Linked DNA regions of Macaca mulatta. The protein of the gene in region 1 interacts with the protein of each later gene in a pairwise test. Links are inferred from orthologs where the notes say so. Each region holds a gene or a part of one and is shown in the gene's direction. Other genes may lie near its edges.

Region 1 (3,560 bases):
CAGAATCTCCCTGTGGTTACCAAAGTGTGAACCCAGAAAATCTTAAGACAGATCTCAGTTAATTTAGAAGGTTTATTTTGCAAAGATTGAGGACGCACACCCCTGACACAGCCTCAGGAGGTCCTGATGACATGTGCCCCAGGTGGTCAGAGCACAGTTTGGTTTTATACATTGTAGGGAGACGTGAGTCATCAATCAACATGTGTGAGATGAACAGTGGTTCCGTCTGGAGAGGTGGGACAACTTGAAGTGGGGAGAGGGCTTCCAGGTCATAGGTAGGTAAGAGACAGATGGTTGCATTCGTTCGAGTTTCTGATGAGCCTCTCCAAAGGAGGCAGTGAGATGTGCATTCACCTCAGTGAGCAGAGGGTGACTGAATAGAATGGGAGGCAGGTTTGCCCTGAGCAGTTCCCAGCTTGACTTTTCCCTTTAGCTTAATGGTATTTTCCTTTCACACTGCCGAGCCCTCTGAGCCTTGCTTGCCGCTGTGGCGGGAATGCTCAGCCGGTGAGGCCATGCAGCCAGCACCCTCAGCGCATCCTAGGACAGAGCCTGGTAAGCCTGTGGGCACTCGGTATCCCAGTCTGTAGCTGGCCAGGTCGAGCGCGGCCTTCAGCGGTCTGCCGCTCATGTGACTGTTTCTCCAGGAGAATTCTTTCTTCATTTTGGTTCTACCGCAAATATTTTCCCATATCATTACAGTTCTTCACAAACAGAATCTAAATGTCTGCATATTTTATCAAGTGGCCACACCGTAACGCACCTAGCAATTTTCTCACCAATGGTCCTTCATGTTGTTCACCAGTGTTATCACAGCACTGCGGTGGGCAGTTTACTGTCTCCGTTTCTGAACTGCCAGTTGAGGTTCACGTTCTGTTTGCATTATCTCCACTCTTAAGCATGGCGTGTGAAGCTCTCCTCCTGGGAGCCCAGGCCGGCTGGCCTTGCTGCTGAGCATGGAGGAGCCAGTGGGCCAGGGAGTCAGAGCACCCTGGGAAGGGGTCCAGGTCTTGCTTCAGGCTTGTGTTCGCGGAGCGCGGAGCAGGGAGCAGGCTCTGCATCCCTCAGGGTGGCTCTGCAGAAGAGGAAGCTGTGCCTTTTGCACACATCTTGGCTGGACTCATGGTTGAGCTGGGCCAGAGCCCTGGGACTGTGTTTCCCTCTCCGGTATCCGGGGTCTGTGCTGGTGTCTGGAAGCAGGTGTTTCCTCTAATGTGGCTGCTGTTCTAGTTGTTCACAGCCAGAGGGAAAGACTCATAGCGGCGAGTCCCTCCTGGTCGGAGGCAGAAGTGCCCTCACCTTTGGTTAGAGAAGGACACTCCCTCACCCCAGAACCGGGTGGGTGGGGCCTGTCTCTCCTCCTGCACCAGAGCCACCTCGCCTCGTTGTCCTCCCACCTTGGTGGCTCCTTGTGAGGTCTGTCATCCCTATGCCTGCCCTTTGGCCCGAGTGTAACATGTCTCTTTTCTCTGGTTGCTTTTAGAGTTTCCATTTTGTCGCTGATTTTTCAGCAATTTGATTGTGCAATGCTCTCTGGTATGATTTTCTTTCTGTTTATGCTGCTTAGGCTTCACTGAGCTTCGTCATCTGTGATGTACGGTTTTCATCGCATTTGTAATGTGTTTGGCCTTGTTGTAGACGCGTCTCCTGCCTTCATGTTCGTCTGGGCTCCTGGTTCCTTGTGCAGCTTGTTTCTGGTCTCAGAGCTCTGCTCATTTTTCCTCCTTTGGCCCCTTTCCATCTGAGTTTCAGTTTGGGTATTTTCTGGTGCCTGGTGTTTATATTCACTACCTTTTCTTCTGCGTGCTCCGAACCTGCTGTTCATCCTATTCAGTGGATGTTTGACTGTACTAAAGTGTACATAACGCACAGCTGGCCGCTTTATTTTTTGGTGCACCGTTCAGCAGCATGAAGCTCATTCACACGGAGATGCAGCCATCACACCACCCTTTCCAGAACGTTCTCATCTTCACAAACTGAAGCTCTGTCCCCGAGAAACACGGGCTCCCCCTCCCCACCCCCAGCCGCAGCACCCCCATTCCACTTTCTGCCTCTGTGGATTTGACACTCTAGTGACCGCAACAGTATGGAAGGCTTCAGGAATTTGAGTGTCATATTTGCACCTCTGTCAGGCCAGAAAGGAGGGATATCACAACCCCGGGGATGGGGAGGGACCACAGCCCAAGCTCAAGCAGGGGACTGGCCCCGAGAGGGCAGCAGGGAGGGCGGAGGCACAGCCTGCCAGGACAAGCTGGGGAACCGTTCATCTTTTTGTAGTCATTTTTCCTTGTATTTGACAGATGCTCCTCGGGCAGCATGAAGAAGAAATAAGTAAAGACTTTCCATCCAGTGAGATCCAGCAGCTCCGAGAGCAGAACACGAGCTTGCGAAGCGCGATTGCCCAGATGAGGAAAGAAATGGAGGCTCTAAGCCATCAGATTCCTCCTCCCGCCCAGACAGCGGCAGAGAGCACAGATGCAAACCAGCCTGACCCAAAGGCTGGGGGAGACACCGCCACTCCTGGTGAGTAACAGGGAGAAAGGGACAGAGCGGGAGGGGAAGTGGGAGAGGGAGGGAGGAGGACAGACGGGAGCATGGGTCTCGACTGGCTTCAAGGAGGCTTCATTTCAGAGTCCTGTAAGTTAACATCCCCTGTAATAAATTCAAAGCATGAAAACTGCTTTTTCTCCAAGAGAAGGAATCTTCAGTTTTATACCAAAAAGCTTTTATATTTGTAAAGTAGAAGGAAAAAATGAGGGTACCTGCTTGACACACTTAAAAAACCTGTTTTAGACCTGAACCAGGGCTGGCTTGGTGTCGCGCTGTCCCAGAGTGGGTTGGTAGCAGGGGCTGGTGGACCGCAGGCCTTTCCTCCAGAGGAGTGTCCGTGGCAGAGCTGATGAGGGCGCCCGATGCCCGGGAACCCCACGAGTGGCTGTGGGTGGGCGGATGCCAGGATGGATGCAGAGCTTCCGTTCTCCAGGTGGGACTTGGCCCCTCGCACAGAGGCACGTGGGCTGCAGCAGGTGAAACATTTGCTCCTGATCGCTGAGCCCTTCCTGGAGAGCATGGAGACTATGCTGGTCTCTGGCTGGCACACTCTGGCCAGTGAGGGGAGGGAAGGTCTTTCAGTCTGACACACACACAGAGTGTGGAAACTGCTGTGAAGCTCTCGTGCGGGGAGGACAGGAGGACAGGCACAGTGAGGCAGCGGGCACGAGCTGGCATCGGCTCCCTGAGCTGGTGCTCACAGGAGGGCGGTGCGAAAGGGTGTGTGTGTGTGTTATATTCACTGGGCTTTTTTTGGCAGATTATGTTCTGGCCCTTGAAGCAGAAATACGAACTCTAAAGCATAAGTTTAAAACTCTGGAAGAGCATCTAGAAGATGTGCTGGATCCTTTAAAGATGTCCTCACCTCGTGCCGAGTCTCAGCCCAGCGTCCGCACCTCGACAGAGACGACTGGTGAGAGTCCGCGTCTCACTGGGCTCCTTGCTGTCCCTTTATAAACTGAAATCTGACCCCTGCAGAAAGTCCAGTCACAGCAAATATATAGCTTGAG
Region 2 (4,189 bases), on another chromosome or scaffold:
CGGCCTCCCAAAGTGCTGGGATTACAGGCTTGAGCCACCGCGCCCGGCCTTGTTTTTGTTTTTTTGTTTTTATTTTTTGAGACGGAGTCTCGCTCTGTCGCCCAGGCCGGAGTGCAGTGGCCAGATCTCAGCTCACTGCAAGCTCCGCCTCCCGGGTTCACGCCATTCTCCTGCCTCAGCCTCCCAAGTAGCTGGGACTACAGGCGCCCGCCACCTCGCCCGGCTAGTTTTTTGTACTTTTCAGTAGAGACGGGGTTTCACCGTATTAACCAGGATGGTCTCGATCTCCTGACCTCGTGATTCGCCCGTCTCGGCCTCCCAAAGTGCTGGGATTACAGGCTTGAGCCACCGCGCCCGGCCGTTTGTTTTTGAGACAGAGTTTTGCTCTTGTTGCCCAGGCTGGAGTACAATGGCACGATCGCAGCCCACTGCAACCTCTGCCTCCTGAGTTCAAGCGATTCTCCTGTCTAAGCCTCCCCAGTAGCTGGGACTACCACGGCCGGCTAATTTTTTTTTTAAATTTATTTTTAGTAGAGACGGGGTTTCACCATATTGGCCAAGCTGGTCTCGAACTCCTGACCTCAAGTGATCCGCCTCAGGGCCAGGTGCGGTAGCTCACGCCTGTAATCCCAGCACTTTGGGAGGCTGAAGCGGGAGGATCACTTGAGGTCAGGAGTTCGAGACTCACCTGGCCAACATGGTGAAACCCGTCTCTCTAAAAAAAAAAAAAAAAAAAAATTAGCCGGGCGTGGTGGCGTGCGCCTGGGAGGCTGAGGCAGGAGAAACGCTTGAACCCGGGAGGTGAAGGTGGAAGTAAGCCCAGATCGTGCCACTGCACTGCAGCCTGGACAACAGAGGGTGTCTCCTTCTCAAAATAAATAGATAAATAAATAATAAATGTTTTAATTGCAAAAATTAGCATGTAGAAAATAGGACAAAAATACAAATTATCTGTGATTCTAACCCCGAGACACCCAACAAGTTAATTTTCCTCATGTTTTTAGCGTAAAATCTTTCAAGTATTTAACTACTGCTTTTAGTGTCTGCACCAGGAATCTCACGTGCTTTCAAACGTTTTACAAAGCACAGTAAAAAAGTATTTCAAAAGTCCCACTTACCCCTCCCACTCCTGTTTTTATTAGGATCGGCCCAAATTAAAAAATTTAACAAAAAGGAGTGCTTATTAATTACATTTTCAAATGAAGGGTTAAAAAAAGAGATAAGCCTGGGATTTCTAATTCGGGGGCCATGGGACTTCTCCCCTCCAAGTGCAAGTTGTAGCAATCTGCCGGGTACACGCATGGGCGGGTCATACTCCACGGGTTCCGGTTTCCACTCCCCGTGAACGAAAAGCCAAAGAGGCTCACGCACGAGCCCGGAAGTGAGGGAAGGAAGACTTTCGTTCGCAGCCACCTCCCAGCTGGAACCTCATCCTTAGTGCTCGACCCCGGGCGGTGTTAACTCGGGGTTCCGCCTCGGAATGCCTCTCACTTCTCTCGTCTAAGAGGAGCAGTAGCAACCTGAGCTCAGAGCTAAGCTAGCGAGCCAAAGACTCTCAGTGGGGATGCCCAGACGGTGCATTTCCCACGCCCCTCGGAACCGACTCTCATTGCGGCTGCTGCAAAAGCGACCGGTCGTGCGCCACCCGCCCGACTGAGGCTGCGCAAGCCCCGGGGTCTGAATGGGGTGGTCCTAGTGCGCGCCGCGTCGCCGTGGAGACAAGGGCGGGCCCGGCGCGAGACTGGCGTCTAGAGGCGCGCGAAGCGCTGAGGCTGGCGTGGGCCGCGCGGGAGTTACGAAGCAGGTCCCGGACAGCCCTCTCCCGCCGGGTTTTCTCCCAGCGTCAGGCCCGATGGCTCGGCTTCCCCAGGTACGAGGCCCGATCCTAACGTCCCCACCCTCTTATGGGCTCGGCCTCTCCGGCAGGGAGCTCAGTCGGGTCCCTCCGAGTCCGGTGAAATCTGTGCGAGCCTCTGCTTCCTCCCCTAAAAGTGCAGGTGATGTTGCCTACCTGCGGGTCTGTGGTGCGGGAATGGAGGAAGTGCGACAAGAGGGCGCAGGACGGGGCCTGGAGCCTGCCATCCTCTCCCGCTATCCTCTCCCACCGCGTCTCCTCGGCTTCTTGTCCTGCGCCCCGGGGGCACCGCATCCTCCCAGGCGTCTAGTGCGCTCCTGGCCGGTGCTCGAGTCTACGCAATGCTTCTTAGCGTACGCGGATCCAAATGAGGGGTTTCCTTCTCCCGGCTAAGTGGCCCAGGAGAGCGGAAGGGCTGGTGTATGGGCGACCTTCCCCCACCGAGCCCGCAGGGGGTAACGCAGTAAACAAACCTTGAAGCCTTCCCCGCGTGGGAGGTGGGTGCATGTTTTTATTTTATGGGAGGCTGTTCAGGTTTCCTAAGTGCTGTGTAGATGTGTTGTAAATATTTGTTGAATGAATGATGCTAGGGACTTGAGTACAGCCATACCTTGCTTTATTGAACTTAATAGGTATTGTGTTTTTTACAAATTGAAAGTTTGTAGCAAGTAGTCCTGCGCCGAACAACTAGTTTTTCAGCAGCATGTGCCCACTTCCTATCACTGACACTTTGGTAACTATCGCTATATTTCAAACTTTATTTCAGGTATACCGTTACAGTGATCTGTGATCAGTGATCTTTGATGTTATTATTGCAATTGTTTTAGGTCGCCATGAACCTCACTGGTATAAAACAGTAAACTTAAGTGTTGTGTCTGACTGCCCCACCTACCTGCCAGTTCCCTGTTTCTCTCCTCCCTCTTGGTCCTCCTTGTAGCCTGAGAGGCAACAATATTGAAATTAGGCCAATTAATAGCCCCACAGTGAACCCTAAGTGTTCAAGTGAAAGGAAGGGTTTCATGTCACACTTTATATCAAAAGCTCGAAATGACTAAGCTTAGTGAAGGAGGTACATCAAAAGCTGAAATAACGTGAAAGCTAGGCCTCTTGTACCGAACAGCCGAGTTGTGAATATAAAGAAAAAGTTGTTGAAGCAAATTAAAAGTGCTACTCCAGGGAACACACCAGGGATAAGAAAGCTAAACAGCCTTATTGCTGATATGGAGAAACTTTTAGTAGTCTGGATAGAAGATCAAACTAGCCACAATGTTTTCTTAAACCAAAACCTAATTTTGAGCAAGACCCTAATTCTCTTCAATTCTGTGAGGACTGGGAGAGATGAGGAAGCTGCAGAAGAAAAGTTGTAAGCTGGCCAGGGGAAGCGGTTCATGCCTGTAATCACAGCACTTTGGGAGGCTGAGGCGGGCAGATCACTTGAGGTCAGGAGTTCAAGACCAGTCTGGCCAACGTGGTGAAACCTCCTCTACCAAAAATACAAAAAAATTAGCCAAGTGTGATGGTACTCAGGAGGCTGAGACAGAAGAATCGCTTGAACCCAGGATGCAGAGGTTACAGTGAGCCGTGATTGAGCCACCGCACTCCAGCCTGGGCAAGAAAGTGAGACTCCGTCTCAAAAAAAAAAAAAAATGTGTAACTGAGAAATTAGCTGGAAGCTCCTAGTGTCTAAGCAGGACTGCGGAGTTCATGGGCTTCACTTTAGGGTAATCTAGGGACAAGTCTGCTTTTTCATTGATGGAGAGTAAAGCACATGTTTCAGAATCTGGAGATCTGTTAGTTTTTAGTGTTTTCTGAGAAGACTTTTCCAGTCTCCTGCCTGAAAGGTACCATCTAGCTACCAGAATGTTGGAAGCAGGACAGCAGAAGGGACCTGAATACCCTGTCTGACAGGATTGGAAATCTGTGTGGCCCGCTTTCCTTTGGTATCCTCAAATCAAAGTTTTTCATTTCCTCAAACCTGTTAGGCCACTTCATTTTCCTTGTAAAACTGTGGAAATCGCTGGTGTCCTATAATCTCTTCTCTCATCTCTTTAACCTTATGGTTTGTTCCTTTGTATTCTTTACTATCACCTTAGAAGGTCAATCTACATGTTTAACTGGGAGTCAACACCTAATAATTTTAGTTTTTCTTAGACTTTTTTTTTTTTTTTTTTGAGATGGAGTTTTGTTCTTGTTGCCCAGGCTGGAGTACAGTGGTGTAATCTTGGCTCACTGCAACCTCCACCTCCCAGGTACGAGCGTTCTTGTTGCAGCCTCCAAAGTAGCTTGGATTACAGGCATTCGCCACCATGCTTGTTTTTTTTTTAAGTAGAGATG
Region 3 (4,337 bases), about 38 Mb from region 1:
TGGAGAGACCGTGCTGTGGTAAAGGAGAGGTAAGATGTTGAGAACATCCAAGCCCTTTGCCAGCAATTAGAGAAACATAACAATTTGACAGAAAGACAGAAAACAAATCTCTTCCAAGAGTTAATTTGGATTTATGGTTCACAGTATTAATTAGAAGGGGTTATTAACACATGTGCAGATGAAGAAAATGGAGGATGAAAAACTTTTAACTACAAAGTGTAGGATGAGGTCCCAGTATTTTCTCCTCAAAAAGACAATCTTGGGCTTTATGTATTTCAAGGTTTTAAAATGTTCACAGTTTGTCTGTAAGAAACGATAAACCTATAAAGCCACTTACAGGTTTATGGGGGTGGGAAATAGATGTTTAACTTTATTGTTTGAGCGTATGATGTGTCAAGCTGTATATGTTTGAATGTTTAAAATACCTTGTTCCTTAAAGTGGGCCAAGGAACAGAGGTCTTGACATAGGTAGGAGCTTGTTACAGACTTACTGAATCAGAATCTAAGTTTAACAATCTCCCCAGATGATATATGTATCTATTGAAGACTAGGGTTCAAACCAAGGGTTTCTCTGTTACTGGGTGATCTTCGTTAAATTCCTTAACCTCTCTGAGCCTGTTTTCTCATTTATGAACTAGTGAGAATTAATGTTAATGTGTGACATTTCTTAATATTGTGCCATGTCCAGAGTAGGTGCTCTATAAATGGTAGCAATTATCATGATGATGATAATCTTGGCGCTGCTAAAGTTACCTCCTTGCAAGAGCAGTAAACAATCATGTTTAAATCAATGTGACTGCCTTCCCCCCTTAACCGCAAACATTTGTGCCTCCCACCCTCATTCCTAAATGAATTAACACTGAACAAGTGGGGTTTTAAGCTTCAGATGACTATCACGCACATATAAATAAAGAATAATGGGAAAACCTAGGAACATGGATTTTTGCTGGCTTAGAGACTGAATTCAGCTGCCCCATGACTTCACAGCTGTTTCTGCCGCCCTAGAGTGTCTGTCCCCTCAGCTCTGTCCCCTCAGCCGGGTCTGCAACGCTGACTCTGGGATTTTCTTATAAAAATGCCTGATGGACGGGAGGAAGATCTGGAGGTCGGCAGGGGAAAAAGTGAGTCATTCAAATTCACAAAGCAGTCCGCTTAGTAAATGCTGCAAGAGAAAGAAAAGTAAAAGCTGGCTCCTGTCTCTGGGGTATCTGTAGAAATGATTCGGACTTATCATGTCACTGAGCAAAGTTGGGGGAAGCCAAAACTCAGAATCTGCTGGCAAGGAAAAGAACGAAGGAAAAAAAAAAAAAATGTTAGGGAGGGGCAAACTGGAGGGGGAGGGAATAAAAAGAGAGGGAGGGAAAGACAAGCGTCATTTAGGAACAGAGGTAGCCTGAAAGCAGCAGGAACTCCAGGAGATTCCAAACCAGACCAGACCTTATAGTAAAGTATTTTTACATCTTTTCTTTTCCCCAGAAGAGATCCCTAACCTATTATTTTATTGACAGCCTTGCTGTTAGAGGCTCTTTCCCAGAAGTTGGACGAAGAGACTCAAGCGTTGCTGTTTCTTCCCTTCCAAGTCAAGTGGTTACTCTGGTAATGGATTGCCTCTCGGAGGTGAGTGTAAGTAATTTGGGGACAGATCTTGATTTTTAGATTAGCTCAATCTCAGCTTTGGGGTGAAGATATCTTTTTCGGACATAATCTCAAGTATCTTTTAACTGGCCTCACCAGAAGTCAGGGTGTCATTGGACAACAGTGATTAATTAGTTTGGTGATTAAAAATGACATGTGAGTAGGCAGCTCTAAGATTGAGTTCCTTGCTCAGGGAGTAATATTTTGACTTTCCAGAGCAGGGAAGAACCAGTGATGTTTGATCTGGAGTTGAATTTATTTTCAGTGGATGCTTAATATATTCAAAATATTAATCTCATTGAAACAGTCTCAAGTATCTTTCTTTAAACTTGTTCAGTAACTACAACTGCTCAACTGTGTAGCAGCTAGACGGCTTTTTGAGAATGGAAGACAGTGACTCAACCATGTCTGGGCAGCAGACACGTTTTCACTGATTTCTCATAGACAGCATTTCAACCAGATGCTTTTGATCAAAAGTCTCAAGCTTTGTCCTGAAATGTTCAGGTTCAAAATACTTAGAAAGCGTCATTGCAGCAAGTTTTATACACAAGGGCATGGAGGAAAATGAGATTTCCTGAAAACCTAGCATGCTTATTTGTTTCCGCACGTTGTAGTATACATAATATCAAAATTTTGTGTTGAGCTTAATAGAAAATTTGTGTATTGATAACTAATTACTCTAATAATTGATTTTATTTTTGCCAGGAGAAAGCACAAAATTATATCCTATGAAGGGGTTGAATTTTTTTTTCTTATTTTTTCTCTGTCATAGCAGATTGGAAGACAGTGTTACATTTCAGATCACAAATCCCCACCTCATTGTCAATGAATTTTTTGCTGAACTGTGCACCTAAAATGGTTAATAAAAAGATCCCAGGGAGCAGGTTGCACTGTGTTTAATAGTAACACAATAAAGATTTTTTGACTGTCATTCAATGGAGAAGAACATCATTTATTGCTGGCCACTTGCCTTGACATTGATTTTGTGGGCAGCGAATAGGTGACAGTTTGGAAAGAATGCATGTTATGCCCAGCAAGATTGGTGGAGTCTGAGTTGCTGTAAGTTCTGGGATTAACGGTGTGAAATATTGTTTGTAATGTATTCTCCTCTTGAATGAAACCATTTTTGGATTAGGATTCAGGCATTTCTGTGTGTTTAGAGGAAGGAGAAGCAATAGACAAAGGAGAAAAGCTTGTAAAACATTTGTAGACCGCCAGGGTATATTAAACACTGTAAGTGCTTCCTGCTTTTTCTGTCTTCCCTTCACGTGCATCTGCTTCATCTTATTTTTTGCCTAAATGCAAAGAAAATGCAACCAATTCAAAAAAAGAGTAAAGTTGCTTTTCACATGGATCTATGCCTCCTGGAAAAGAGGTGCCTCCCCAGCTTTTTATTTCTGCTTGCAGGGTTCATTCTGATACATGTAGCTGACATCTCCTGTTATCTTCACAGCTTTCACCCTGGTGAGACTGTCCAGATCTAGTCTGCAAACCCACCTTAGAAGCACTGTTGTAAAAATGACTGAAGAGCCCATCAAGGAGATCCTGGGAGCCCCAAAGGCTCACATGGCGGCGACGATGGAGAAGAGCCCTAAGAGTGAAGTCGTGGTCACCACAGTCCCCCTGGTCAGTGAGATTCAGTTGATGGCTGCTACAGGGGGTACCGAGCTCTCCTGCTACCGCTGCATCATCCCCTTCGCTGTGGTTGTCTTCATCGCTGGCATCGTGGTCACCGCGGTGGCTTACAGCTTCAATTCCCATGGCTCCGTCATCTCCATCTTTGGCCTGGTTGTTCTGTCATCTGGACTTTTTTTACTAGCCTCCAGCGCCTTGTGCTGGAAAGTGAGACAAAGGAGCAAGAAAGCCAAGAGACGGGAGAGTCAGACAGCTCTCGTGGCAAATCAGAGAAGCTTGTTTGCTTGAGACTGAATAAGACCAAATGGGCTATTGGGCCTGGAAAACCTGCTCTGACTTTGTCACCCAATTCACCCAGAACCATGGTGGGAGAGAACAGATTTGGCATTGGAGCAGACTGGAAGAATAGGGGTGGGAGGGTGGAGGGGCTTCTCCTTTGTGAGGAATGACTCATGTCTTCTTTAACGACAAACTTAATCCTAAGGGCTATTTCTGAGACTGCAAAATCAGCTTTCTATTTACATTAAACATTTTGGGGGTCATGGGAGTGCACGGCATTAGACAGCGTTTGGTTCACCCTGTAAAGTAGCCAAGAAAAGATGAGAAAATAACAAGATAGGCTTGGCACACTAGACATTTGCCTCCAAAAGAAATAACCCACAGTCTTAAGATGTGCCATAAAAATGTTCTGCCAAGGATCTAAATTACCTTGGGCTTCGCATATATCTATGAAATTCTGTGATAATTTTTTGCAATACATTGATTCACTGGCATCTGTTTTTATTTTTCACTTTTAATAACTCATCACTGGTGGTACTTTATCTTGAAGAGTAAACTAATATTTTTTATATTTTAACATTGGACAGTTTTAGCCAGTTGTAATGATGTGTCAGAAGTAAAGAAAAACCCATTAAAGGTCTAGCTAATAGATGCTGTTGGGGGTTAAATTAATAGTAAAATAATCCAATAGAGCACTTTTGATGATTTTTATATAAAAATCAAGTGTACATTTCATTCAGAATAATAAATACTTATTGCTGCTAAAACTTCTTAAATGGTTGTTTCTG

The links.
Region 2: the proteins of CCDC57 (region 1) and SFI1 interact in a two-hybrid assay, tested with the Homo sapiens proteins (2 studies listed by BioGRID). The two-hybrid records come from large-scale screens. The link is inferred for Macaca mulatta from reciprocal best matches to the Homo sapiens genes CCDC57 and SFI1.
Region 3: the proteins of CCDC57 (region 1) and TMEM100 interact in binary tests that used the Homo sapiens proteins (3 or more experiments, as listed by UniProt). The two-hybrid records come from large-scale screens. The link is inferred for Macaca mulatta from reciprocal best matches to the Homo sapiens genes CCDC57 and TMEM100.

What each region holds. Positions count from the first base shown.
Region 1 is NC_133421.1:91,874,167-91,877,726, reverse strand, and holds part of CCDC57 (coiled-coil domain-containing protein 57), read left to right. Parts: intron 1-2,300; coding exon 2,301-2,523; intron 2,524-3,310; coding exon 3,311-3,463; intron 3,464-3,560. UniProt on the Homo sapiens protein: Pleiotropic regulator of centriole duplication, mitosis, and ciliogenesis. Critical interface between centrosome and microtubule-mediated cellular processes. Centriole duplication protein required for recruitment of CEP63, CEP152, and PLK4 to the centrosome.
Region 2 is NC_133415.1:20,004,990-20,009,178, reverse strand, and holds the start of SFI1 (protein SFI1 homolog), read left to right. Parts: upstream 1-1,355; 5' UTR 1,356-1,870; intron 1,871-4,189. UniProt on the Homo sapiens protein: Plays a role in the dynamic structure of centrosome-associated contractile fibers via its interaction with CETN2.
Region 3 is NC_133421.1:54,258,429-54,262,765, forward strand, and holds the start of TMEM100 (transmembrane protein 100), read left to right. Parts: upstream 1-1,503; 5' UTR 1,504-1,623; intron 1,624-3,088; 5' UTR 3,089-3,153; coding exon 3,154-3,558; 3' UTR 3,559-4,337. UniProt on the Homo sapiens protein: Plays a role during embryonic arterial endothelium differentiation and vascular morphogenesis through the ACVRL1 receptor-dependent signaling pathway upon stimulation by bone morphogenetic proteins, such as GDF2/BMP9 and BMP10.